Linked DNA regions of Saccharomyces cerevisiae S288C. The protein of the gene in region 1 binds, or shares a complex with, the protein of each later gene. Each region holds a gene or a part of one and is shown in the gene's direction. Other genes may lie near its edges. The genes, in order: RRP6, RRP40, RRP46 and LRP1.

Region 1 (9,171 bases):
ATAATTATCGTATCTCAGATCCGCTATTTTTCATAAGCGCGTAGTAAGAGAGGTAGGTTTAACAGGATAATAAAAATATACATGAGACAGCCAATAAATAGTGGAAATAAGCCGTATTTTAAATTGAGAGCTCTTAGTAAGAAAAATGTTCCTCTGAGACGCTAAAGTCGTGTATATTTCATATGAGAAAGTGCACAAATCCTGCTTCCCTTCTATCTGGGAATTTCTTTTCTATATTTGAACATATTATTGTAAGGGCCTTTTTCTTTATTCTCTTCTCACATATAAGAACCATTTTATTATTTTAACTTTAAAACTACTTTCTATATAAATCCTACGTTTTTTCCAAATATCTAGGAGACAATCCCGTTCTCCATCTTTATATGGACTAACTCATAACTATTTAATAAACCTCTCAAGTGGCACAATGCCGCAATAACAACTAGAAAATGGAAAAGTTGGTGAGAATGACCCCAAATATCAAATTTACCGGGGCAAATCTTTTCAGGAAACCGCATTCCATAAAGAACAGCGCCAATTATATATAGGACACCCCCAAGTAATACCCAAAAGAGCTGAATTTGGGTCCAAATTTCTGAAAAACTATAGCAGTAAAGGCCGCTGAATATTGGAATAATTGAGGATAAACCAAAACAAACAAATAGCCCAGCTCTGTAAGGTCTCCACTCTCTTTTCCGAAACTTATCTTTTAGTGACACAATACTACACGCGATCCCAAAGCTAACGGTAATAAGCGCAAATAGGCAAAATAGGGAAAATTTCTCAAAATAGCCGTAGTACAAAATACTGACCATTGACGTAACAATCAATATACAAATACCAAGGTAGTCCAACTTATTTCCTAAGGTAGCAATTCTTAAGGAGTGACTCTTTAGACAATGAAAGGAGCTACTCAATATTAAACATGCAAACGCCCCCGAATAAAAGAGGTCGATTACCATATGATCTAGCCATGTAGTTGTTGCAAACACTTTGATAGTAGATTTATCTAGCAACAGTACAGTGAAGAACCCGAGAGCAGGAATTAAATGTGAATAAATATTGACACTTTCATTATGCAAATAAAACAAACTTTTAAAAGTTTCAATGAAGCTACTAGTTTCTTTCACGTATCCATGTAAAATAAAATCATTGTCTCTTTGCCATTCCGGAATTTCATCCCAACTATATAGCCTTCTTAGTACTTTTTTAGCTTTAGCGACCTCTGCGGGATTTGCGGATGTTTTCCCTGCAGCTCTCTTCTTCAGCTCTTGCACACTCTTAGTCCTTTCTAATAAAGTTGACATTTGGAATGATTCTTCTCCAACATGCAGCATAATTAAAACGACGGGAAATTTAGTACATTTGGCTCAAGGAACGCTGACATAAATACTATTTCTAATCTACTATTCGAAGAGATGTTGGATTTCTAAAAAAAAAAGAGCTCAACAACGGAAGACCGCCTATTAACCCCGAGTGTCTGTTTTTTAGTATACTCGAAGCAAACAAGAAAAGTTTGTTACTTAATTTCTGGCCTAAACAAGGTAGTGCTACCCTAGAGGAAGTACGATATCAGTACACTTTTGTATTTTTAACGAATTATGGTATTCTTTAAAATATTTAACATGCTATCGAGTTTTTCTTTCTAAAATGCGGTTTCAAAATTTGAGTCCGCTTTCTATGGAAAATATGAATGAGGCGAACGTGCTTGTACCATAGTCAGATTTTAACCCGTAGGTGAGAGCCTGAGGCTTCTGTAAACCACCTTGGAAACACATACGGGTTATAAGATTTTAACAAACAATCAGTCTCCATACTCATCCTAGGATCTCTTCTTCATTTGATGAATAAAGGATTCAAACTTCAGAAAGTTATTCAGCGTATATTGGCTTTCCTTTAATCTAATGCCCCAAGCCATCATAAATAGCCATATTACTTTGAAAGTGCTCATCCGTATACACTGCAACTTTTCTTCTTTTCTCTTTAGCCGATTATAGCTCCTACCTGTTTTTTTTTTCTTCTTAAGATTATTTATATTCCAATTTTATCATCCGTATTGTTTCCAATAGCGTTCCAGTGATCAGTTATATACTTCGAGAGGCAGATAACCTTTCTTTTTATAAGTGTTTATCAAATTTAAGTCTGCAAGCTATCATAAGACGAGGATATCCTTTGGAGACTCATAGAAATCATGGAAAGCACATCAGGAGAACGTTCCGAAAATATACATGAGGATCAAGGGATACCAAAAGTAATTCTGCCCGCTGATTTTAATAAATGCTCTAGAACTGACCTAGTGGTGCTCATATCACGAATGTTAGTATCGCTGATAGCAATCAATGAAAATTCAGCAACAAAGAAATCTGATGACCAAATTACTTTAACACGATACCATTCTAAGATTCCTCCAAACATATCAATCTTCAACTATTTCATACGACTGACAAAGTTTTCCTCTTTAGAACATTGTGTGCTTATGACATCACTCTATTATATCGATTTATTGCAAACTGTGTATCCTGATTTTACGCTTAATTCGTTGACTGCCCATAGGTTTTTATTAACAGCCACCACAGTCGCAACAAAAGGCTTATGTGATTCGTTCTCAACAAACGCCCATTATGCAAAAGTTGGAGGAGTACGATGTCACGAATTGAATATACTGGAGAACGATTTTTTAAAGAGAGTAAACTACAGAATCATTCCGCGGGATCATAACATTACGTTATGTAGTATAGAGCAAAAACAGAAAAAGTTTGTCATAGATAAAAACGCATTAGGGTCTCTCGATTTGGATTCTTATTCTTACGTTAATCGTCCAAAAAGTGGATATAATGTTCTAGATAAATACTATCGAAGAATAGTTCAGCTGGTGGGTTCCTTTAACGCTTCACCTGATAAGAGTAGAAAGGTTGATTATGTTCTCCCGCCAAATATTGATATAGTGAGTGAAAGTGGCTCCCAAACTACTCAACTAAAGGGGTCGTCATCACCCAATTCTCACTCTTCACAAAAGCGATATTCTGAGGCAAAGGACGCACATATCTATAACAAGCGATCAAAGCCAGATTAATGATTTTTCGTGGGGTATTATGAAAGCAATCATGATTGAGCAAAATTAAAACTTTCCATTTGTACATATATATATATATATATATATATATCTGTGTGTGTATAATAAGCAATTGGCCATCATTTGGCTAAAAAGTTCAAGATTTCAGGTAGTATATAAGAGAATAACTTCCCTCTTTTGCTAAAGAAGGATATGTTCTATTTCAGCCTTTTTGCATCATAAGAGCATAAGCGACAGAAAACACTTCGAGATGAGCTTGAGAACTCCATTTCAATTAACTTGATAAATACATGTAGATTCATATCATCACTGTTCTTTTCAGATACTAGTTTCAAAACTTCCTTGACAGAACCATTTCATGTTCAATAATGAAAATTACTTTCACATGTTTTAGTGGAAAAATACTGAACAATGAAATTTCAATATCGCATATAATAATTTTTGTTATCAAATATATATTTTTCGGAAGTCATATACATTAAATAATTAAAACATTATTTTTAAAAATTAAAAAAATATATTTTAGCAAATAGTTTTTACTTTTTTTTAAATGCAAAATAAGTTCACGTGATATTATTAATAATATTTTACCCAAAAATATGAGGGCATCGGAAAATTTTTCAGTAATGAATATTAATGTTCATCTGAAGATAGACGAAATAGGAACAACAAACAGCTTATAAGCACCCAATAAGTGCGTTATGACTTCTGAAAATCCGGATGTACTTTTATCTAGGGTGATAAATGTGGTGAGAGCAGCATCATCGTTAGCCAGTCAAGATGTAGACTTTTACAAGAATTTAGACAGGGGATTTAGTAAAGATCTGAAATCAAAAGCAGACAAACTTGCGGATATGGCGAATGAAATAATCCTCTCTATTGATGAGCATCATGAATCATTTGAACTTAAAGAAGAGGACATTTCTGACTTGTGGAACAACTTTGGAAACATCATGGATAATTTGTTAGAAATGTCAGACCATTCGCTGGATAAGCTGAATTGTGCAATAAACTCAAAGTCAAGAGGTTCCGATCTTCAGTATTTAGGCGAATTTTCAGGAAAGAATTTTTCTCCCACCAAAAGAGTCGAAAAACCTCAGTTGAAATTTAAAAGTCCAATTGATAACAGCGAAAGTCATCCGTTCATACCTTTATTGAAGGAAAAACCAAATGCTTTGAAGCCACTCTCTGAGAGTTTGAGGTTGGTTGATGATGATGAAAATAACCCCAGTCACTACCCCCATCCTTATGAATATGAGATTGATCATCAAGAGTATAGTCCAGAAATTCTCCAAATTAGAGAGGAGATTCCCTCAAAATCCTGGGATGATTCGGTACCAATTTGGGTAGATACAAGTACAGAACTCGAATCAATGTTGGAGGACTTGAAAAATACGAAAGAGATTGCCGTTGATCTTGAGCATCACGATTATAGGTCATACTATGGTATTGTTTGCCTCATGCAAATTAGTACAAGGGAAAGGGATTATTTAGTTGATACTCTAAAACTTCGCGAAAATTTACATATTCTGAACGAAGTGTTTACGAACCCTTCAATTGTGAAAGTTTTTCACGGTGCATTCATGGATATTATTTGGCTTCAGCGAGATTTAGGTTTGTATGTCGTTGGTCTCTTCGATACTTACCATGCGTCTAAAGCAATCGGTCTTCCTAGACATAGTTTGGCCTATCTTTTGGAGAATTTTGCCAATTTTAAAACTTCAAAGAAATATCAGTTGGCTGACTGGCGTATAAGACCGCTTTCAAAACCCATGACGGCATATGCTAGAGCAGATACTCACTTTTTACTAAATATATATGACCAGTTGAGAAACAAACTTATCGAGTCTAATAAGTTAGCAGGTGTTCTTTATGAATCAAGAAATGTCGCAAAAAGAAGGTTTGAATATTCAAAGTACAGACCACTGACACCTTCTTCAGAAGTTTATTCTCCAATCGAAAAAGAGAGTCCTTGGAAAATATTGATGTATCAGTACAACATACCACCTGAGAGGGAAGTATTAGTAAGAGAGCTATACCAATGGAGAGATCTTATTGCAAGAAGAGACGATGAATCGCCACGATTTGTTATGCCAAACCAGTTATTGGCTGCACTTGTCGCATATACACCTACTGATGTCATAGGTGTTGTTTCTTTGACCAATGGCGTAACTGAACATGTCCGCCAGAATGCAAAACTATTAGCTAATTTGATAAGAGATGCATTACGAAACATCAAGAACACCAATGAGGAAGCTACTCCCATTCCATCTTCCGAGACCAAAGCAGACGGAATATTGTTGGAGACTATAAGTGTTCCTCAAATCCGTGATGTTATGGAAAGGTTTTCGGTGTTGTGCAACAGCAATATTTCCAAGAGCCGAGCCAAGCCTGTCACTAATTCTTCTATTCTGTTGGGTAAGATTTTACCACGTGAGGAGCATGATATTGCATATAGCAAAGACGGCTTGCCAAATAAAGTGAAGACGGAAGATATCAGGATCCGAGCACAAAATTTCAAGTCTGCCTTAGCAAACTTGGAGGATATCATATTCGAAATAGAGAAACCTCTCGTTGTTCCTGTCAAGCTAGAGGAGATTAAGACAGTAGACCCTGCGAGCGCACCTAATCACTCGCCTGAGATTGATAATCTTGATGATCTTGTTGTTTTAAAGAAGAAAAACATTCAAAAGAAACAACCAGCAAAGGAAAAAGGTGTAACGGAAAAAGATGCTGTGGATTATTCAAAAATTCCGAATATCTTATCTAATAAGCCTGGCCAAAATAATAGACAACAAAAGAAAAGGAGATTCGACCCATCATCTAGCGATAGTAATGGACCAAGGGCAGCTAAAAAGAGGAGGCCTGCCGCCAAAGGTAAGAATCTGTCATTTAAAAGGTGATTATGTAAAACAAGCGTATTTTTTTATTTATAAATTATGGTAATTTTCATTTAAGACCTCTAAATTCATCTAATCGAATATCTGTGTCATGGAGTTATGGCTCCCCCATGCACACCATTTTCTCTTTTTTTGTTTCTGTGTTTCCCTTCATCTCCTTTATTATGAAAAGTACAAGTTTTATATAATTTCAACGTCGGAGGTTATCCGGAAATCTATAGTTGAATTTTTGCAGGATTATACTTCGCTCGAATATTGTGCGTGTTAAATACTCAGCGAGAACAATACTTCCAAGTTAGAAAAGGGATTTGCTCATGTTAAAGCAATGGCACTCCGAATGGACGGTGTCAGGAATTCTTTTCTTCACATCAGGCTTCGCATAGAAAATGGCCATTGGCAAAAGGTTACTGGTGAACAAACCAGCAGAAGAATCATTTTATGCTTCTCCAATGTATGATTTTTTGTATCCGTTTAGGCCAGTGGGGAACCAATGGCTGCCAGAATATATTATCTTTGTATGTGCTGTAATACTGAGGTGCACAATTGGACTTGGTCCATATTCTGGGAAAGGCAGTCCACCGCTGTACGGCGATTTTGAGGCTCAGAGACATTGGATGGAAATTACGCAACATTTACCGCTTTCTAAGTGGTACTGGTATGATTTGCAATACTGGGGATTGGACTATCCACCATTAACAGCATTTCATTCGTACCTTCTGGGCCTAATTGGATCTTTTTTCAATCCATCTTGGTTTGCACTAGAAAAGTCACGTGGCTTTGAATCCCCCGATAATGGCCTGAAAACATATATGCGTTCTACTGTCATCATTAGCGACATATTGTTTTACTTTCCTGCAGTAATATACTTTACTAAGTGGCTTGGTAGATATCGAAACCAGTCGCCCATAGGACAATCTATTGCGGCATCAGCGATTTTGTTCCAACCTTCATTAATGCTCATTGACCATGGGCACTTTCAATATAATTCAGTCATGCTTGGCCTTACTGCTTATGCCATAAATAACTTATTAGATGAGTATTATGCTATGGCGGCCGTTTGTTTTGTCCTATCCATTTGTTTTAAACAAATGGCATTGTATTATGCACCGATTTTTTTTGCTTATCTATTAAGTCGATCATTGCTGTTCCCCAAATTTAACATAGCTAGATTGACGGTTATTGCGTTTGCAACACTCGCAACTTTTGCTATAATATTTGCGCCATTATATTTCTTGGGAGGAGGATTAAAGAATATTCACCAATGTATTCACAGGATATTCCCTTTTGCCAGGGGCATCTTCGAAGACAAGGTTGCTAACTTCTGGTGCGTTACGAACGTGTTTGTAAAATACAAGGAAAGATTCACTATACAACAACTCCAGCTATATTCATTGATTGCCACCGTGATTGGTTTCTTACCAGCCATGATAATGACATTACTTCATCCCAAAAAGCATCTTCTCCCATACGTGTTAATCGCATGTTCGATGTCCTTTTTTCTTTTTAGCTTTCAAGTACATGAGAAAACTATCCTCATCCCACTTTTGCCTATTACACTACTCTACTCCTCTACTGATTGGAATGTTCTATCTCTTGTAAGTTGGATAAACAATGTGGCTTTGTTTACGCTATGGCCTTTGTTGAAAAAGGACGGTCTTCATTTACAGTATGCCGTATCTTTCTTACTAAGCAATTGGCTGATTGGAAATTTCAGTTTTATTACACCAAGGTTCTTGCCAAAATCTTTAACTCCTGGCCCTTCTATCAGCAGCATCAATAGCGACTATAGAAGAAGAAGCTTACTGCCATATAATGTGGTTTGGAAAAGTTTTATCATAGGAACGTATATTGCTATGGGCTTTTATCATTTCTTAGATCAATTTGTAGCACCTCCATCGAAATATCCAGACTTGTGGGTGTTGTTGAACTGTGCTGTTGGGTTCATTTGCTTTAGCATATTTTGGCTATGGTCTTATTACAAGATATTCACTTCCGGTAGCAAATCCATGAAGGACTTGTAGTTACATTTTAACTTATATAACTGTACAATGTCAGTCAGACGCAACTGATATAAAAGATGTGCTCTACAAGTAAAGATTATTTCAACTCTTAAAAATATTTGAAAAATGCACTATAATTTGATCTAAATAAGGTACAGATAATGGTAAGGCAAAACTACTACATTTGGCAGTGAGTATTGTTAGCTTTTCCGCTTATTTTCTCTCCTGGAGTAGCCACCGTTCGCGTCTTCCGAGCAATGGCGAATCTCGAATCTCGGAAGGGCGGCTACTGATAACAGGCACTCATATATATATTATTAGATAAGAGTTTTTTTTGACTGAGTCCTTATAACACGTAACTTATCAAGTTGCTATATTGTAAGTTCAGGTTTCCAATCTGTTCAACCACTTTATATCTTTAAACATGAAATTCTCTACCATCTTACCTATACTTTGGGCAAATTGCTGTCTTTGTATGATCATCCCTGATTTCGACGGGATAGTTCGTTTTATTGAGAATATTGATGGTACTCGCAGTGTAAGAGCAGGAGAAGGTTTGGGACAGCATGATCCTGGAAATTTTCACACTGAACATCAACATGTCGCTCATAAAACAGAGTTTCTTCCTTATCGGTATGTCATAGTCTTTAATGAAGATATTTCCCTCCAGCAGATTCAATCGCATATGCAAGTGGTACAGAAGGATCATAGTACCTCAGTAGGTAAGCTTACAGAAAATGACGCTTTTTGGAGGGTAATTTCTTCTTCAGTATCATCTAAATCTCAATTTGGAGGTATTGATAATTTTTTTGACATAAATGGTCTATTTCGAGGTTATACTGGCTATTTCACTGATGAAATCATTAAAATAATCTCCCAGGACCCAATCATAAAGTTCGTAGAGCAAGAAACTACAGTAAAAATATCTAATTCGTCATTGCAGGAAGAAGCGCCTTGGGGTTTACATAGAGTTTCGCACAGGGAGAAACCAAAATATGGACAAGATTTGGAATATTTATATGAAGATGCCGCCGGAAAAGGTGTCACATCATATGTACTCGACACAGGAATTGATACCGAGCACGAGGACTTTGAAGGGCGTGCTGAGTGGGGAGCCGTTATACCAGCAAACGATGAAGCTTCTGATTTGAATGGTCATGGAACTCACTGTGCGGGGATTATCGGATCGAAGCACTTT
Region 2 (3,718 bases), 270 kb from region 1:
TTGTACCTGAAGTGAGAACTAGGTAATATACGACGATGGATAGTGTAATTCAAAAAAGAATTTTTGTCGGAAATATTTTCCATAATGCAGATGATTGTTATTCAGAACTACTAGATCGATTTGGAAAATTTGGTGATTGCCAAGATTTTCAGTTTGAAAAACACAACCACTTTGCATTTATCGATATAAGGTTTAATGATGAGGCAGATTTTAACAAGCTAAGAAAGAGCTTTAATAATGTTAAGTTTAAAGGGAACATTTTGAAGGTTGATGAAGCAAAGCCGAATTGGGAAAGCACCTGGGCGGTACAACATGCAAAGGACCTTAAAGAAGATATTATACTAAATGCTAAAATGAAAAAAAAGAATTGGCAACATTATAAGAAAATGGAAAATGTAGCGAAAAGTTGGAAAGATCATAAGGAAGTTATTGCTGGCAGAATGAGGGAGGCGCCGAGAAAAAGGAGTCAATTGAGGAACATTACATTCAGGATCAATGTCAATGGTTCATTGAAAGTTTACAAATGCTATAAGACTAAATTATGGGGTTATGAAAGGAACAAAGAATTGAATGACCTTGTGTACAAGTTTACAAATAATTTCTGGAAAAACGGATACAACCACATTGTCGATAGATTGGATTACAGTCGTGCTGTTAAAACTGTTCGATTCAAAAATGGGCTGAAACAGTTAACAGTGTCAAAAGATGAAAACGTTTGCAGTGGAGAGATGGACAGCGATGAGAATATGTCAGAAGAGGAGAAGGAGAAAAATAATGTTATTCTTAATGACCTATTAAAGGACTTTGACTTCGATAAGCCAATGACGTTGAATGATTCGGACGAGGAACTTCTGACAGAGCAACGTAAAGGAGAGGAAGAAGAAGAAGAAGAAGAAGAAAAAGAAGTAAACGCTCCCGAATACGAGAATGTTAATAAGACGAAGGACCAGAGCACCCTACCACAAGAAAAACCAGAGGAAAGGAAAGAACAGGACGAGGGCGACGGGCAGGAGGATAATGAATTTATTCCGACTTTCACCAAGGAAATTGGTCAAGGTACAATAAGCAACACTGAGACGTTAAGAAACCTATTCAACCCCAACGAGGCAGAACCTGTATCACAATTCAAATTGATTGAAGATTCTGATAATGATATTGATCATGCGAAAGATGTTGATGTGAACCAACTGGAGGAAGAAGTAAGTAAATCATCTGACACCCTAGGTTTGACATCGGCTCCCGTACCACATGTATCTAGAGATAAAGATAACAAAAATTTCTTGTTTTTCCCTCATTTGCAATCGCCATTTTTAGTAGGACAAACACAGTTGAGTAAAGTAAGGGCTCCTGGAAGAGAAACAATGCTATCGAACTGGGATGAGGAGTTCTGGGCTAACAGAGGTAATTGGACCCGTGATATGAGGCGCAAAATGAAAGATGCATTGAAGCACCGTAAGAGGAAACAATCAAAGAGCGGGCTTCTTCTATAGTGAGTATATATACATATATAGTATAGATTTCTCTGCGCTTATTCAAAAAGCATTTTTACCGAACTTAACAGCCATTTCCACTGCTGCAGCACCCCAATCTTCACCATGGTTGTGCATGGAGTGCGCTTCATCGATGCCAGCTCTGGCCAGGGCTTGTTCTTCAGTCATGCAAGTTAAGAGGCCAAAAATGACGGGCATGTCGACTTTTTCTTGTAAGTTCATCAATGCGTGAGTGGTGGAATCTGAAATGTATTCAAAGTGCATTGTACTACCTTTGATAAGTACACCAATAGGAATTACAACATCTAGCGGCTTTCCCAACTTCGCTTGTCTGTCAACAAACCTTTTTGTCCCCCAAGGTAATTCATAGGATCCAGGAACAGTTTCAATTATTATGTTATTTTCCTCGACACCAAGGGAAGCCATTCTTTCAATAGCACCTTTCACAAGAGCGTCAATAATGACACGGTTCCAACGGGCATGAATGATACCGACCCTGATTTTGGAACCGTCATAAACTTGATCTGGTTTGCCTAATCCTTTAACTGCCATACTGCGTTATACTGCGTTATACTGCGTTATACTGCGTTATACTGTTCCTTTTCATGCTTTTGAACCCACTCTCTGGGGCAATATTTCATTGTTCTCTTTTATATGGCTACTTTTCTCTTATTAACGGGGACCTCCGAAAATATCTCCGCTCCCAGAATATGTCATAGAGCCTTAAGAATTGACCTACGGGAACCTCCGAAAACCTCCCAGAGTTTTAATTATACGTCATAGAACCCCAGACCTCTTCGATGAAGTTTCGTGGAAACTAGTTCCATCCACCTCACTTAAAGTTACCTTAATGAAAGCCATCATTGTTTACTAGTAAGGGTAGTGGTGTGACCCGGACCTGATCGGCTGAAATTTTTTGGTTTAGAGAAGCATATTAAACCAACAGCACAAACGGATGCTTCAGCAGCTCATCTCCAGCATTTCGACTAACCAAGAGCATACAAGATGTCTACGTTCATATTCCCTGGTGATAGCTTTCCTGTAGACCCTACTACACCTGTTAAACTGGGCCCTGGCATATATTGTGACCCCAATACTCAAGAAATACGACCTGTTAATACAGGTGTTTTGCATGTTTCCGCTAAGGGTAAGAGTGGTGTTCAGACCGCATATATAGACTATTCTAGTAAGAGATACATTCCATCTGTAAACGATTTTGTAATCGGTGTCATTATAGGGACATTTTCAGATAGCTATAAGGTTTCGTTGCAAAATTTCTCCTCCAGTGTTTCACTATCGTATATGGCTTTTCCCAATGCTTCAAAGAAAAACAGGCCAACTTTGCAAGTGGGAGATCTAGTGTATGCGAGAGTTTGTACCGCAGAAAAGGAACTAGAAGCCGAAATAGAATGTTTTGACTCAACTACAGGACGCGATGCTGGTTTCGGGATATTGGAAGATGGTATGATCATTGACGTGAATTTGAATTTCGCACGCCAGTTGCTTTTCAATAATGACTTCCCGTTATTAAAAGTGTTGGCTGCACATACCAAGTTTGAAGTCGCCATTGGTCTCAATGGGAAGATCTGGGTTAAGTGCGAGGAATTATCTAACACTTTAGCTTGTTATAGAACCATAATGGAGTGTTGTCAAAAAAACGACACGGCAGCGTTCAAGGATATAGCAAAAAGACAGTTTAAAGAAATACTTACGGTCAAGGAGGAGTAGACTACCATGTATAATTAAAATATATAAACACATAGATATCATCAATATTTCACGTCCTTTTTTAATGTCCTTTGAAAAAGCGAAGGAAAAAAAGTTTCATCTCATCTCATCTCATCACATCTAACATATGGCCATAAAATTTCGACAACTATAGTGCACATATCTAATACGATGAAGAATCTGACCACTATAAAGCAAACGAACAAGAATGTCAAACAAGAAAGACGTAAAAAGTACGCTGATTTGGCGATTCAAGGCACAAATAACTCCTCAATTGCTTCTAAAAGATCGGTAGAGTTATTGTATTTGCCAAAACTGAGTTCGGCTAATAATTTCCAAATGGATAAGAATAATAAACTGTTGGAATATTTTAAATTCTTTGTTCCTAAGAAAATTAAAAGATCTCCCTGTATTAACAGAGGTTATTGGTTGAGGTTATTTGCCATCAGGTCAAGATTGAACTCCATCATTGAACAAACGCCACAGGATAAAAAGATAGT
Region 3 (7,344 bases), on another chromosome or scaffold:
TATTAGTAGGAGATGCTCTATCGTTGCCAATACCATGCGCGTTCATGAATTTTACAGCTGCGATGTATTTTTTCAATAGTTGACTTGTTAGCTGAATATGTGCTCCGATGTTTGTTTTGAAATCACCATGAAGGTCCTTAATTTCCGTAATTTTATATCTTAAATCTTTTCTCAATTCCTCCAATTTAGGAATGACGGTGGACGTAATCTCTTTAGAGATCTTAAATTGCTGGTTAGCCAACGAAAGATGGTACTTCTTCAAAATGACCTGGATGTCTTGAATCGAGCCTGAACCGAACTTAACAAAACCGGATGCGGCAGATGTATTGTCCGACTCTGTGGTCTGGACAGGCTTGTATTCATGAGGCGCCAAACTCATTTTACTTTCATCTGTGGGAGCCTGCACTGCATTTTCCTGCTGTTCCTGTTGCATTTGCATCTGAAATTGTTCGCTGTCAGTCAGGCCAACTTTCTTCTGCGCAGGCTGCGCTTTCTTAGGGCCTCTAGGAGCCGTTGTGAATGGATCCGTAATGGTATTTGTGGTTTCATCAATATCAGTCAAAAATGGAAATTTCACAGATCCTTTCAGTTGGTAATTGATCCGTGCGAACTGTTCTTGCGCATACGCGACTTCCCTCAAGTAAATCACTAACCCTTTCAGAATTTTTTTCCATTTATAAAACCTGTCTACAAGGATGTCGGTGGGATACTCCTTAACAAACTGCCCATCGATAGCTTCATCACCTGCAAGGGGCTTCTTCGTTTCCGTAGTAGAGGTTGGCTGAGCCTTTGGTATAGGGACGTTTATGAAGTAGGGAGATCTCTCATCTGTTTCAGGCAAAATAAACTCCTTTGCCTGATTGTTTGCCACTATGGAGGAAACACTTTCGTTCAAGGTCATCGAATCAGGTAAGATGTCCATCAAGTACTGCGAGCTCTTCGAGTGGATGGAGGAGGCGTCATCGCCGCCACCACCGCCAGATGGCTTATTGCCCATCGGCGTGAGCGTTTGCGAAGGTCTGGAACTAAAGTAATCAGACATTAGTTTGAGCCCAGTTTTGTCCTATTTCTAATGCACTCTCGTTGTGTTTGGTAGAAGAGGTGTTAAAAAACAGAAATTTTCGGTCGTTATAGTATAGATAGTTTAGTTTGTAACTACGCTGTCTTTCCTTATTCTTGTACGCTTCGCCCTAGTTCCTGTGAAAAAAGCTTTCTGTAGTAGCGTTATTTTTAGATTTCAAGATAGGAGAAGAATGGTTATTTTCGACAATGAAGATGAAGAAGGGCAGCGCTGTTTGAAGGGAAAGGGAATGCAAGACTAGGAAATATGGATTCAGCTAGCACATTTATGAGTAAGGGGAGGTGTTATTCAGTGCAAAAACTAGTGAAAAAAAAAAATAGGAAAAAAGATAAAGAGATGACAGAAAGCTAAACGCTTACAAGAAAAATGATGGATCGTAAACACGCAATCCAACAAATCGGCGGTGATGGTGATGATGAATCATCTCCGGAGGTTTGAAACTTAGAATCTGACATTTTTTCCCGCTTATTTTTGCGATTTTTTTTTTTGGTAGGATCAGGCGAGGTTGAACATCTCCCACGTTTCTCATTTCTTGGCTATTAAGGAGCCAAGAAATGAGAAAAGGCGAAAAAAAAAAAAAAAAAAGAAAAAAAAAAGTGTAAGTATGCCACATCTAAGAAGGGTGGCTACCACAAGGGTGCAGAGATTGCAGCAGTCCTTGCTTTCTTCAATTTTACTACTTCTTGTTACTCCTAGTCCGTGTGCTTGCGCAGATGTAAGTTGTGTTGAAACAACAAGCAGATGTAGTGGTCCCTGACGCTGGTTCCATCGGAAGATCCGATTCATTGTTTCCTTCTCTCCCTTCCCCGCTGACTGAGCGGAAAAAAAGATAAAAAAAAGAAGAAAAACCGGTGCGGGGCAGCAGGCAACTAAGAAAAACCGGAAAAAGGGTTGGCGTCAGATCGCTAGCAACGAGATTCCTCTTTTTTTTTCGATTTTTTGTTATTAGAGGAAGACGGCGCGACTGAGTCAGGCCGTAATCGGAATGGAAAACCGGGCGGCTACCGATCTTTGTCAGTGAAGAATATAAGATATGATGATTTCGTATATGTATATGAGTGTGTACATGTGACAAAAAAGATTGGAAACTTTAGTACATCCGCAAATAATGGATGGCAGTTTCATACCCCCAGAAACTCACAAAAGTGGTGGGTATTGTCTTGGAAAGGGCCACCAGAATACCTCTGTAAAGCGAACTCACACCTTCTTGTTTCAAAATCTGTAAACCGATTCTTGCGAATCCGTACCCTTTATAAGAACCGTATACAGACGAATGACGGGAGAACTTTTCCAGATGCTTCGAATTCATGAACTGCATTCGCCTACGGATCGTTTCGAGGGGGAAAGTAATGATCTTAGCAATGACGCCGCCAATGGTACCAGCGCTGTGATTTAAAGTAGCCAGTTCCCATTTTTTATGCGCGGCGGTCGTTTTTTCGTTTTCGTCACAGTATATCCTGATTGTTTCGTATGTTCCGAACATTATAGATGCGGTTAGAGTTATGGTTGTCATTGACGCGATGGAGCCCTTGAAAAATCCGGGGAGACCTTCTAGTTTCCAGATATCACGCACTTCTCTCGTGATGCTCATTGAGTGCATCTGGTTGTTGGCAACTAGTCGGGTCCGTAAAACATCGAACGGGTAGGAAACGATGGAACTGGTTATGCCAGCAAAGGCTCCGACAACAAGACTATGTAAGCGCGCCTCTAGTCCAAATGGAGTTAAATATCTATTAAAAAGGGAGTATGAACTAAACTGCGCTGAGCCATAGGTAACGTACAGCAAAGAACCGGGTATGTTACCCTTCCAAAAGGACCGGATGCCTTCGTTCTTTATCATGCTTCTGGCCACCTCCATGACCTGACTTCCGAAGGGCTTCAGCCCATTTGCAGGGGTCAATTGCAATCTGATCTTAATGGTATCCATGGGAGCAGTTATGCTACGGGCAAGCAGCCCGGATACGGCGCCAGCCAACAAAGTTTTCCACGCGGCCACATTTTGCCCTTTTCTTAACGAGTCCTCCTCTTTGAACATATCAACATTTATGTACTTTGAATGGTTTATATAAAGCTCCAGACTATGCCAAGTTAAAGGTGACAAAATAGCGCCTTTTCTTCATAAAGACTATTATGTACCTCTCTTTTTCTTTTTACTACTTTTTTTTTCCTTTTAAGCGCATCGGATTGTGGAAAAAAGAGTGGAAAATTTGTTAGATGAACCAGTTAAGATGCATAAAATATCTCTGCATATATGGTAATAACAAGGAGCCCAATACCAAGAATAGATTAGATTCTGCTGAAAAAAAAAAAAAAATGAGCGTCCAAGCAGAAATAGGGATATTAGATCATGTAGATGGTTCATCTGAATTCGTATCACAAGACACCAAGGTTATTTGTTCTGTAACAGGCCCTATTGAACCAAAAGCAAGACAAGAACTGCCTACACAATTAGCATTAGAAATTATTGTACGTCCCGCGAAAGGGGTGGCCACAACAAGAGAGAAGGTACTCGAAGATAAATTACGGGCAGTTCTGACCCCACTCATCACTCGTCATTGTTACCCAAGACAGCTCTGCCAGATAACTTGTCAAATTCTGGAATCTGGTGAAGATGAAGCCGAATTCTCCCTGAGAGAGCTAAGTTGTTGTATAAATGCGGCATTTTTGGCTTTAGTTGATGCAGGAATTGCCTTAAATAGTATGTGCGCAAGCATCCCTATTGCAATAATCAAAGACACTAGTGATATCATTGTCGATCCCACTGCCGAGCAATTGAAGATTTCGCTCTCTGTCCACACTTTAGCTCTGGAGTTCGTCAATGGCGGTAAAGTCGTGAAAAACGTTTTATTGTTAGACAGCAATGGTGATTTTAATGAAGATCAATTGTTCAGTTTACTGGAGCTGGGTGAGCAAAAGTGTCAAGAACTTGTCACAAATATAAGAAGAATAATACAGGACAATATATCACCTCGTCTAGTTGTATAGCCATTATAGATTATAATATACCACAACATGCTATGTCGTATGCCGGAGACTACCTCTTATATTTGGAAATAGTTATTATTCAATGTTCTAAAATTCTTAACATTTTCGTTGTTACATATACATAGCATATATATATATATATATTACATTAATTTTTATCTACCTTCAATCTACAATTTCAAACGCTTCAAGTTTTCAATAGTAGCTTCCAAACCTTCGATTTCGGCAACAGTGTTATCCAGCTTGCTTTTATTGGCTTCCTTGGCCTGTGTATTAGCCTTTGTTTCGTAATCCTTACTGTTAATGGTTTGTTCAATACCGTTCTTGGATTTTTTAGCCTTTTCAAGTTTCTTTTGAACTTTCGCAATTTCAGCATCAATATCAACGTGTCCCTTGACGAGAAGATGTACATTGACTTCTGGGTTAACAGATTGCAATACGCAACCTTCTGGAATTTCGGAAGCATCACGAACAACAGTGACTTCGTCGATGGCCTTGATCAACGAGACAATAGAATCTTTCTGATCTTCAGCAGTTTTGAAGTATTCCTCGTGGTTAGATTCAACGAAAACCTTACCATTCTTCAAAATATTGTACTCAGATAACAAGGAACGAGCTTCTTTGGTAATGTTCAAGACCAAGTCGTAAGCATTGGCCGATTTGACATCATCGTACTCAGATACGTAAACTGGATAAGAAGCTTTTACAATTGAGGCAGCCTTCTCAGTGGAACGCTTTGGAAGTCTTTGCCACATTTCTTCAGAAATGAATGGCATGAATGGATGGATTAATTTCAAAGCGTTGTCCAGCAAGATATACAATGTATCCTTTGCGGACTTCTTTTCAATAGCAGAGCCTTCTTGAATCAAGTATTTAGAGTTCTCGATGTAAACATCACAAATCAAATACCAGAATTCGTAAATACTGCTAGTGGACGTCAAGAAGTCACGTTTATCTAGAGCTTCATTGACAATTTTCGAGGTTTCAGTCAGCTTGTGCAAGATCCATTTTTCAACCAAGGATTCGTTACCTGATAGACCTTCAGTGGCAGGTGGTTGATAATCGTCACCGAGTCTCATCAATGCAAACTTGGTAGCTTGGTAGATTTTGTTACAGAACTTTCTGTAACCTTCGACACGTAAGATATCTAAGTTAATATCACGACCACCAGTGGTATAAGCACATAATGCAAACCTCATAGCATCGGTACCACATTGAGGAATACCGTTAGGGTAGGATTCCTTTTGACCGATCTTAGCTTTTTCAACTTCTCTTGGATCTAAGTTACCTTGTAATAATTTTGCATGCAAATCATCCAACTTAATACCAGTAATAACGTCTAGTGGGTCAATAACATTACCTAAAGATTTAGACATCTTACGACCTTGAGCGTCACGGACTAAAGAGTGGCAGAAAACTTCCTTGAATGGAACTGAACCGGTCAATTTTAAGCCCAATAGAATCATTCTAGTAACCCAGAAGAAAAGAATATCCCAACCAGTTTCCAACATAGAAAAGGGGTAAAAAGTTTCCATGTCTTTAGTCTTCTCTGGCCAACCCAAAGTGGAGAAAGGCCACAAACCGGACGAGAACCAGGTGTCTAAAACATCTTCATCTTGTTCCAGAGTAAATTTGGAATTAGGGTATTTGGCAGCAGCCTTCTTTTCAGCTTCCTCCATGCTCCTACCAGCAACCCAATAGTCACCATCAATTCTATCGTGTTCTTCGCCTTCGATATTAATAAAGTAAACTGGACAACGATGACCCCACCATAATTGTCTGGAAATACACCAATCTTGGATGTTACCCAACCAATGGAAATATTCAGCCTCAGAAGATTTGGGGGTGATGGTAATTTGACCATCCCTAACAACCTTAATAGCATCTTTGGCCATTTCACTTTGAGAAACCCACCATTGAGGTTTCAATAAAGGTTCAATAATGTCACCAGATCTGGAACAAGTTGGAATGGTCATTTCATTATCTTCTTGGCCAACGTATAGGTTCTTTTCCTTCAGCTGCTCAATGACCTTCTTTCTGGCATCAAACCTCTTCATGCCTTGCCACTCTGGACCACACTCCTCGTTTAATAAACCATCGTCAGTCAAAATATTGATGAATTCCAAATTGTGACGCTTACCGGTATTGTAATCGTTTTGGTCATGGGCTGGAGTGATCTTAACGGCACCAGTACCGAATTCCATGTCAACAGCTTCCTTGTCGGTGATAATTGGAATTTTTCTTGGTAAGAAAGGATGTTGGATGAACTTACCATGCAAGTGTTTGTAACGGTCATCATCAGGATGAACTGCAACGGCAGTATCACCAAATATAGTTTCAGGTCTAGTTGTAGCAATGATCAGTTTTTCATCGCTACCGATAACTGGATAAGCAAATGATGTTAAAACACCAAATTCAACCTTTTCATCATAGCCTGGGACTGATAAAAGCGTTCTACTTTTAACGTCCTTATTTTCGACTTCCAAATTAGAGATAGCGGTATTCAATTTAACAGACCAATTAACTAATCTGGACGCACGATAAATAACACCTTCATCATGTAGTCTAACAAAAGCTTCTTCAACAGACTTGGTCAATTCTGGACTCAAAGTGAAAGCTTCGCGGCTCCAATCATAAGAAGCCCCCAATTTTTGAATTTGGTTCTTAATTCTGCTATGGTATTCCTCTTTCCATTCCCAGACCTTACCAACAAAAGCTTCTCTTCCATAGTCATGTCTAGTCTTTCTGTCCTTAGCCCAGATTTGCTTCTCCACAACGGACTGAGTAGCAATACCAGCATGGTCGAAACCTGGCAAGAATAAGACAGTTTTACCTTTCATTCTGTTATATCTGATCAAAGAATCTTGGATAGCAATAGTCAAAGCATGACCAATATGTAAGGCACCAGTGACGTTTGGTGGAGGTGCTGGAATGCAAAATACACCTTCTGGTTTAACCTTACCATCAGCGGTAAACTCAGGTTCAAAAACACCAGTCTTGATCCACCAGTCATACCAAGAACTTTCAACGTTAGCAGGGTTATAAGCTTTTAAAGCCGGATCATCCAAGGATACTAAGATTTTTTTCTCACCTGGAACAGTTTTGTCAATAAATTCAGGGATTGGCTCAACTTCCTTCTTTTTCTTAGGTTTCTTTTGAGATGCACCTGTGGTGGCAGCAGCATTTTTTTTAGCTTGTTTGGCAGCGAACTTTAACAGTTTTTCAGCCTTTTTCTTCTCTTTTTCAATTTCCTTAGGAGTCTTTGGAGAGCCATCTTC
Region 4 (7,476 bases), on another chromosome or scaffold:
GTGTTCAATAGACTCGGTTAGTAAACATTTTGTTTGCTTAGGTCCGATAGAATTGTTCAATTTCTTCGTGTACTCATAGTGTCTTGAACCTCCTTCAACCAACGAAGGCGTGAATTTTGGTATCGTTTCCACATTGACATTATTCTTATCTCTAGTGATAACTTTCTGCATATACTCTGTATTCGATCCAAATAGCAATTGGACCACGGTCCCTAATGGAGCTGGTATATTCTCATTTTCCCTTATAATAGAGTCATCCTTATCCTTTTGAATATCAGGCTCGGTAGGTGCATGTGAGCTAGGTTCCATTTTCGGTAAAGTTGATACTGTAACAGTGTTCTCCTTCGAAGACCTTTTCCTTTTGGTAGCAGATCTTGTTAAAATATTACCAAGCTCCTCCACCAATATCTTTGTTGCATCCGTTACACCATCAAATGTACCCTTTTCAATAGGACTTTTGATCAAGCTTTTACCTGTCCATTCAACAGAGACATACAGTTTTAGTTTTGTTTCATTGTTGTTTGCCCATGATAAAAGATAAACTGTTCTCACATAAAATGAATTTCCAGAAGGAACATCCGGAGTTTTTGTTGTTTGCAAGACTTGAACATACTCCTCTAAGTTAAAGTGTTGAATGGTTTCAGTTATCATGCATTTAGTTTTACCGGGTCCAATGGCACCTGGTGTTGTTTTTACGTAGGAATAATCTCTCTTTTTACCTTCAGAAACCGTGGGTGAATCAACGAGAACAGGGATTGGCGAAATATCACTATTCTTTTGCGCTTTTAAAATGGCCATAATATAACTGACATCTTTCCCGAATAATATATTGACAACCCGCCCTAACGAAGCGTGTATTGTTGATTCGTTAACTAATTTTTCATTGGGCGCTGGTTTGTATACTGTTTCTGTGGGTGAGTGAATTTTTGGACCTAGTGGTGGAATTCCTGTTCCATAAGGGGTGTCTGTTTGTAGAGGCATGGGTAAATCTTCCGGCTTTCCTATGCTGACGCTTGATGTCATGTCGGTAGAATCAGATATGTTATTGCTATTATCGTAAAGATCGTCATCATCATCTCCATAATCATCGTAATCATCATCGTAATCGTCATTTTCATCATCACTGATAGAATTGGAGCTGCTATTAGTGTTATTACTGTTGCTACGAAACCTCTTTCCCAAAATTATTTGATTCCATACTTCAGTAATTAAATCATATGTAGCATCTCTTGAAGTGAAAGAGGCAAACGTGTATTTTGTGTGTAAAGTGTCTATAACGATCCCATTAGGGAATATTCCTGCTGTGGCCCTTTTCTCTATTTGAACGATTGTCTTGAACGGTATAAAAACGGTACTTACCCAACCAAGGATGTTCGAATAAAATCCAATATGTTGATCAGAAATATACATTCTGCCTTGCAAAAGGATATCTCTTGACAAAGCACAACTATGGTCTAAAATCAACCTTTCATTGGGGCTGACACCAGAGTCCTTGAATATTGCATGGAATTCTGCATCTTTCTTTTCGCTCGCGTATTCGACTCCCTTTATTCTAATGCTGGATTGTCTACCATTTTCCTCCGATGGCTCAATGATATTTACGGGGGTAGATGAAAAGCTTTTACTAGAACTTCTCCTCAATCCCGAAGATGGACGACCGTTGGACATACTAGGTCTCGGTATGATGGTCGATGCAATATCAGTGCTGTTTTTTACTTTGTTTAGCGAATATTTCAGTGCCGTCGAAGGTAGTACTTTCATTCCCATGCTAATGCTTCCGGGGGAAAATGACCTCCTGTTAAGAAACTTCTTGGACATTTCCCTAGGTTCGCGGTCTTCATACTCCGGGTCGTTATTCGTTAGGCCATTAGAGGAGTTGAAGGACAATCTTTTTTTACAATCTTGTAAAACGTCGCTACTGGTGTTTTGTTTATCTGCCATTGCGCTAATCATTGATTTGGCTCTTCTTCTAGGCTTGACTCCATCTGTTGTAGAGGAACTGACTACTGACCATTTGGAAGGAACAGTTTTTCTTTCCAAATTACTTTGTTGTACCGGGCCTCTGCTGTCAAGGTGATCCGCCTCTGGCAGCGATTCTGCTGACATTGCCTCTAACCCTTCAAGAGTAGCTTGAGAATCATCGAAGTGCTCTAATTTTAAGTTTCCAACTCCGGGGGTAGGCTTATCATGAGAGTGCCTGATGGGTTCGAAAACCACTTTCCTGGCCATATCATCCGTCATCTTTCTAGTGTCATCTAATGATGTATCATCTCCTGAGATAGCATTAGAGCTTGAATGTGAGTTCGAGTGAATATGGCCTTTCAAATTTCCAAATGCCAATCTAGATAATGATGATGGTTTACTTTTACTTCCTGCTTCCGTTGTATTAAGCTGTTGGTTACTTGGAGTTGATGATTTGGATGCTGCAAGAATATTGTCTAAATTTTTCAAAAATGGGCCATCGCTTTCTTTTGTCGATGAAGTGTTTTTATTGTTAGTGCTATTTTCGGAAAGGGCTCCTGATATATTAGATGAGTTTTTTTTCCTGTCCTTTGGTTCATTCCTGGAAATTGTTCCATTGTCAGCGTCTTGTACGTTTATTTTGGGAATGTGGCTTACGGCATTATGGGCGAAGGAAAGAAACGTTTCAAAGGCGGTATGTTCATCATGGCCGTCTGGAGTTTTTTCCTCAGCTTGATTGCTGGACCCTTCTCGTTTCCCACTTTGCAGTTTTTCCTTTTCTAATGCCTGGACGGATAAACTTGGTACAGAATTTGAATTCGAGTTACCATCCTGAAAGCGACCCTTCAATGAACCTGCCGTCAAATTCGTGTTTGTCTTTTCAAGCCTGTTTGTTTCCATGGGATCTATAACGATTGGAATATTGAATACACCTTGGCTATGCGCTAAGGAAGATGCCGCCGCCTTTTGAGATCCTTTTGCAGGAGATTCCGTGAAAGTTTCGGGCTTAAGTAAAGACGGAATATCCGGATTTCCTCCTACTCTTCTGAATCGCTCAGCACTGGCTGTTGTGCTAACATTCTCTCCTGTAGTATTATTTAAAAAATTACGATCCTTCTTGTGCTTACGTTTGACTCCAATTGTCCTTAAAAAGGCAGTGCCCCAATGGTGCTTCTTTTTTGAATCTCTAGTCATTACTGTATATTTTCAACACTATCCATGGAGAGTAAGAACCACACACAGTAGCAATAATTTAATATCAATGGCAATAGCAACGAAATTACAGTAGATACCGTGAGCCAGCAGAAACAGATTGATATTTCGTATTTCAAGAAGGCAGAATCATTCAACCACCTACCGTCCCCCAGGAGGACAGATCCCAACGAGGGACCTTTGCGCCCAATTCTACTCCTGCAAGGGTTTCACTTAGAAATGCTTTTGCCAAGGTAAAGGACCCCTAAGACTAGAATGAACTACGCCGGTCCGTCCGGCCGTCATACTCCGTGGAAATTTACTTCTAAAAGGAGAAACAGCGATCTTTGCCGCATAAAGCCAGCCACTACTGGCGTGGAAAGATTTTTAGATTAGAAGACAATACAAAGCGGCAACGTCATAACCTTGGTATTTATTGGGCAAGCATTTTCATATCAGCGTACATACACCAGCAATGGGAATGTAAAGAAGAGTCGTTACTAGCATATTTTCTATTCATGCGGGTACCCAACATGTCACGTTTCACGAATTCTCGTGCAGTTTTTCAGCGATGAGCTAAGGCAGATGGTTATGGACTGTGCCTTCTGTAGTCTGTGGAAGAAAAAACTGGTTAACAGCCTACAGTAGAAATCGATTAATATAAACATATATCTAGCAACGTAACGGAGTATTAGATCAGTAATGGAAGATATCGAAAAGATAAAACCATACGTTAGGAGTTTTTCAAAGGCGTTAGACGAGCTGAAACCAGAAATAGAGAAACTAACGTCGAAGTCACTGGATGAACAGCTGTTGCTATTATCTGATGAGAGGGCTAAATTAGAACTAATTAATCGTTACGCGTATGTATTGAGTTCTCTGATGTTTGCTAATATGAAAGTCCTAGGCGTCAAAGATATGTCTCCTATACTCGGCGAACTGAAAAGAGTAAAATCATACATGGATAAGGCTAAACAATACGATAATAGGATAACCAAATCCAACGAAAAATCGCAGGCAGAGCAAGAAAAAGCTAAGAATATCATTTCCAATGTTTTGGACGGTAATAAAAACCAATTCGAGCCCTCTATAAGCAGGAGCAACTTTCAAGGGAAGCATACGAAATTTGAAAACGATGAACTGGCAGAGAGTACAACGACTAAGATTATTGACAGTACCGATCATATAAGGAAAGCAAGTAGTAAGAAAAGTAAAAGATTGGATAAAGTTGGAAAAAAGAAAGGAGGGAAGAAGTAGAGGTCGACGTATACTGGTACATGAGTGAAAAAATGATTAAAGGTGATGTGAGAGCACAAATGCAAAAATGCTTATAGGGTTTATATACTTTTATAATAACAATAAGAACTCGTTGAAGTAACTAATATGTGTATATGCTATTCTTGTAGTTGGCAGTGAACACTTTTGTGTGAATTGACGTTATATAAGACTGTAGAAATATCTAAGAAAAGAGAGTTTTCATAAAACCCTTCAAGCTTAACTACCAAAAAGCATTCATACTTAGAAGTTGAAATGCACGATGATGCCAAATTGATGAAAAAAGCTAAAAATGCATTTCAGAAGGGAAGAAAATAATAAGCAACATAACAGAGGGAATAGGTGCGCTTAGTCTTGTTGCTGTAAAATTAACCAATTATTCTTGTATTGTTCTAACGATCCGACCATTTCATCCTGAATACTTGTCTTCCTGCCAGCTCCTAATTTTTTATCGTGAGTGGAGCCAGCGAAAGTTTGAGCATAAATTTCATAAGGACCGAAAATTTGCCTTTCATCCGGGGAGGTTGACGAGGATTCGTTGTCACCACCTTCCATTTTGCCATGTGCCATCTTGTCACTTTCTCCTTCGTATTCTTCGTCTTCGAAAATTATGGCGTCATTGTTAGAGTCTGCGAATACGTCTTCATTTTGCAACGCAATCGTAGTGCTTGAATGATTACGAGGTAATAAAGGTTTAGGGAAGCCAACGAAGGAGCTTTTAGCTCCTGGTGAAGAGGACAACTTCTCGAGTGCTTTATTCATATGCAGTGGGTTAGATTCATTAGCACTGGAACGCCTGGAATTGTAAGATCCACCAAAATTAACAGAATTATGCGAAACTGACAACGTGGCCTCGTTACTTGTCTTCATATTCATAGGAGGTACCTGTGTTCCCAAGTTGAAACTCTTCCTATGATGAGGTGGAACATAAACCCCATTTTTAAATTTTTGTTCCATACTGAGTCTACGCTCCTGCTCTAGCTCCTTAGAGTCAGATGAGTGTGAATATCGATTGCCAATATTACCTGTTAAAATTGGATCAATTGGTCCAGAAGATAAATTTAAATGTGCTTCAGATGATGCTGGTGATTTTAGTAAATCTGGTAGTTCATTAGATTCATTATTGTTATTGTTGATATGCAATGATGTTGTCAAAGGAGGTGGAATATATTGTCTATGATATTGATTAGTGGTACTATTGGTGTCGATATGGTTGTTGTTGCCATTGTTATTGTGATTAGTGCTTGCGTGAACAAATACTTCATTATGGCTACCTACCGTTGTATGCGGTAAGTGATCATTTATAGATAAGTTGTCCATACCATTGACGAAATCATGATCACCTTCTTCAAGAGTGAATAAAACGTCGTCTGAATCGTGATCGCCCTCAGAATCCATACTATCCTGAGTGTAGTGTTCCTGGTATGAAGGCTTCCCACCTAAAACGGTAGAGATATCAGGAGCAGTTGATTGCGGAACTCTTAAAAACTGATTCGTTGGGCTTACGTGATGGTTCCTGGCATTTGGTGGAATATAAGCGCCTGGTGAATGTTGAACTGTAGTCGTAGAACCACGCCTTGCATAACCATTTATAGAACTATTGTTGTTATGATTATAGCTCATGTTGTACCTTGAAAGTGGTGACTTACCGGTATAACTGGAGGAACTTGGTCTTCTGTATTTGTTAAAGTTTTTGTTCCAACCCTTTATATAGCTATTACCATTGTTAAAATTATTATAATTACTTCCATGATTGTTATTGCTGTTGTTGTTATTATTGTTGTAATTACGATTCTGTCTGTACTGTTTATTGTTGTTGTTGGAAAACCCCTCCATATACCTGTGCTGGACACTTGGAGGAGTGAAAAAATCTCTGGTGTTGAATTCATCCCTTGCTTTGTAATCGTGGAAAAAATTATTCATGTGTGTATTAGGCGTTGGTATGCCAAGAGGCTTCCTTGATTTTTTCAAAATTTTACTTTTCTTTCTATCTTCGATATTGACTGGTTTGGAAAATTGATTATCAGTTCTTCCGTACTTATTGCGCTTCTTAAATTTGAACTTAGGAGCAGATTTAGCCCTTTCATGAGTAGATAGTGTTGTATTATAACCCTGGTTGAAAAATTTCTGTTGTTGTGTAGACGGTTTTTTAAAGAAGCCGCTTGCAACATTTTGATTTTGAGAGACATCTGACCGTTTCCTTTCATTCACATTATTGAAATTGAAATCCTTTTTAAATTCAGGCATATGTTGTTTGTTACTAGATGAAATAGGAGTAGGTAATGATACCGGTGCTGAAGATGGAGGAACAGGCTGAGGTGGCAAACCGTCAATCATAGTTTCTTCATATCCTTCATCCAAGTTATTATAGTATTCATCGTCTAATGTATACTCAGATAAGTTCTGTAGTTCAGTTCTCATCATTTTCAAGTCTCTATTAGCCGGATCGATGGTTAAACTATACCTTAATACTTGAAAGAAATCATAAGCCATTGTCGAAAATACATCAAACAACGCTTCTCTATTAGCAGCAAAATAACAGAATGACTTGTCGGATTGATTGGCAATACTAAAAGGATTCTTATGGAAAACAATATTAAGAAACACAATTCCCATAGCCCATAAATCCACTTTGGCACAGTCATAAGGTTCCTTTCTTTCCTTGATATCCAAATTACTATCAAAAAGTTCAGGGGACATATATCTTTCACTACCGACATTTCTATCCATAGACGTCTTATCTGTAGTAGCCAATCCCCAATCTGTAAGCTTAATTGTCCAATCAATTCCAGAAATTAAAATGTTCTCAGGTTTTATATCACGATGATAAATGCCCTTGTTATGAACATATTCAATTGCATCCATGATTTGTGTGATAATATGAGTGATCGATTTGGTTTTCTTAGGCACAGCATCGGCTTTGATCGCCTCATATAGGTCACCGCCAGAGCAATATTCCATGATGATGTAAGAGTCGAAGAAATCTAATAGAGCAGCAATATTTTGGTGTCTACCAATTTTTGTTTGAATATCAACTTCATACATGGC

Evidence for each region.
Region 2: RRP6 (region 1) and RRP40 share a complex: the UniProt entries of both Saccharomyces cerevisiae proteins name them as parts of the RNA exosome complex.
Region 3: RRP6 (region 1) and RRP46 share a complex: the UniProt entries of both Saccharomyces cerevisiae proteins name them as parts of the RNA exosome complex.
Region 4: the proteins of RRP6 (region 1) and LRP1 are in contact, whole or in part, in a crystal structure (PDB 4WFC), measured with the Saccharomyces cerevisiae proteins. Residues at the interface, in NP_014643.1 of Saccharomyces cerevisiae: Asp7 (codon at 3,793), Val8 (codon at 3,796), Leu9 (codon at 3,799), Leu10 (codon at 3,802), Arg12 (codon at 3,808), Val13 (codon at 3,811), Ile14 (codon at 3,814), Asn15 (codon at 3,817), Val16 (codon at 3,820), Val17 (codon at 3,823), Ala19 (codon at 3,829), Ala20 (codon at 3,832), Ser21 (codon at 3,835), Ser22 (codon at 3,838), Leu23 (codon at 3,841), Ala24 (codon at 3,844), Gln26 (codon at 3,850), Tyr31 (codon at 3,865), Lys32 (codon at 3,868), Phe38 (codon at 3,886), Asp41 (codon at 3,895), Leu42 (codon at 3,898), Lys43 (codon at 3,901), Lys45 (codon at 3,907), Ala46 (codon at 3,910), Lys48 (codon at 3,916), Leu49 (codon at 3,919), Ala50 (codon at 3,922), Met52 (codon at 3,928), Ala53 (codon at 3,931); in NP_011949.1 of Saccharomyces cerevisiae: Asp3 (codon at 3,862), Ile4 (codon at 3,865), Lys6 (codon at 3,871), Ile7 (codon at 3,874), Tyr10 (codon at 3,883), Val11 (codon at 3,886), Ser13 (codon at 3,892), Phe14 (codon at 3,895), Ser15 (codon at 3,898), Ala17 (codon at 3,904), Leu18 (codon at 3,907), Glu20 (codon at 3,913), Leu21 (codon at 3,916), Lys22 (codon at 3,919), Glu24 (codon at 3,925), Ile25 (codon at 3,928), Glu26 (codon at 3,931), Leu28 (codon at 3,937), Thr29 (codon at 3,940), Lys31 (codon at 3,946), Ser32 (codon at 3,949), Leu33 (codon at 3,952), Asp34 (codon at 3,955), Leu37 (codon at 3,964), Glu43 (codon at 3,982), Arg44 (codon at 3,985), Lys46 (codon at 3,991), Leu47 (codon at 3,994), Ile50 (codon at 4,003), Asn51 (codon at 4,006).

Annotation. Positions count from the first base shown.
Region 1 is NC_001147.6:323,058-332,228, forward strand, and holds RRP6 (exosome nuclease subunit RRP6), read left to right. Parts: upstream 1-3,774; coding exon 3,775-5,976; downstream 5,977-9,171. Other genes in the region: IZH2 (PAQR-type receptor), read right to left, coding at 354-1,307; PHO80 (Pho80p), read left to right, coding at 2,192-3,073; ALG6 (dolichyl-P-Glc:Man(9)GlcNAc(2)-PP-dolichol alpha-1,3-glucosyltransferase), read left to right, coding at 6,360-7,994; putative subtilisin-like protease YSP3, read left to right, coding at 8,398-9,171. UniProt on the Saccharomyces cerevisiae protein: Nuclear-specific catalytic component of the RNA exosome complex which has 3'->5' exoribonuclease activity and participates in a multitude of cellular RNA processing and degradation events.
Region 2 is NC_001147.6:53,063-56,780, forward strand, and holds RRP40 (exosome non-catalytic core subunit RRP40), read left to right. Parts: upstream 1-2,495; coding exon 2,496-3,218; downstream 3,219-3,718. Other genes in the region: NOP8 (Nop8p), read left to right, coding at 36-1,490; lumazine synthase RIB4, read right to left, coding at 1,533-2,042; tRNA methyltransferase PPM2, read left to right, coding at 3,390-3,718. UniProt on the Saccharomyces cerevisiae protein: Non-catalytic component of the RNA exosome complex which has 3'->5' exoribonuclease activity and participates in a multitude of cellular RNA processing and degradation events.
Region 3 is NC_001139.9:672,393-679,736, reverse strand, and holds RRP46 (exosome non-catalytic core subunit RRP46), read left to right. Parts: upstream 1-3,394; coding exon 3,395-4,066; downstream 4,067-7,344. Other genes in the region: ASK10 (Ask10p), read right to left, coding at 1-1,042; thiamine transporter TPC1, read right to left, coding at 2,172-3,116; VAS1 (valine--tRNA ligase), read right to left, coding at 4,237-7,344. UniProt on the Saccharomyces cerevisiae protein: Non-catalytic component of the RNA exosome complex which has 3'->5' exoribonuclease activity and participates in a multitude of cellular RNA processing and degradation events.
Region 4 is NC_001140.6:263,683-271,158, forward strand, and holds LRP1 (Lrp1p), read left to right. Parts: upstream 1-3,855; coding exon 3,856-4,410; downstream 4,411-7,476. Other genes in the region: LAM4 (Lam4p), read right to left, coding at 1-3,156; putative serine/threonine protein kinase KSP1, read right to left, coding at 4,777-7,476. UniProt on the Saccharomyces cerevisiae protein: Required for exosome-dependent processing of pre-rRNA and small nucleolar RNA (snRNA) precursors. Involved in processing of 35S pre-rRNA at the A0, A1 and A2 sites. Required for activity of RRP6 in 7S pre-rRNA processing.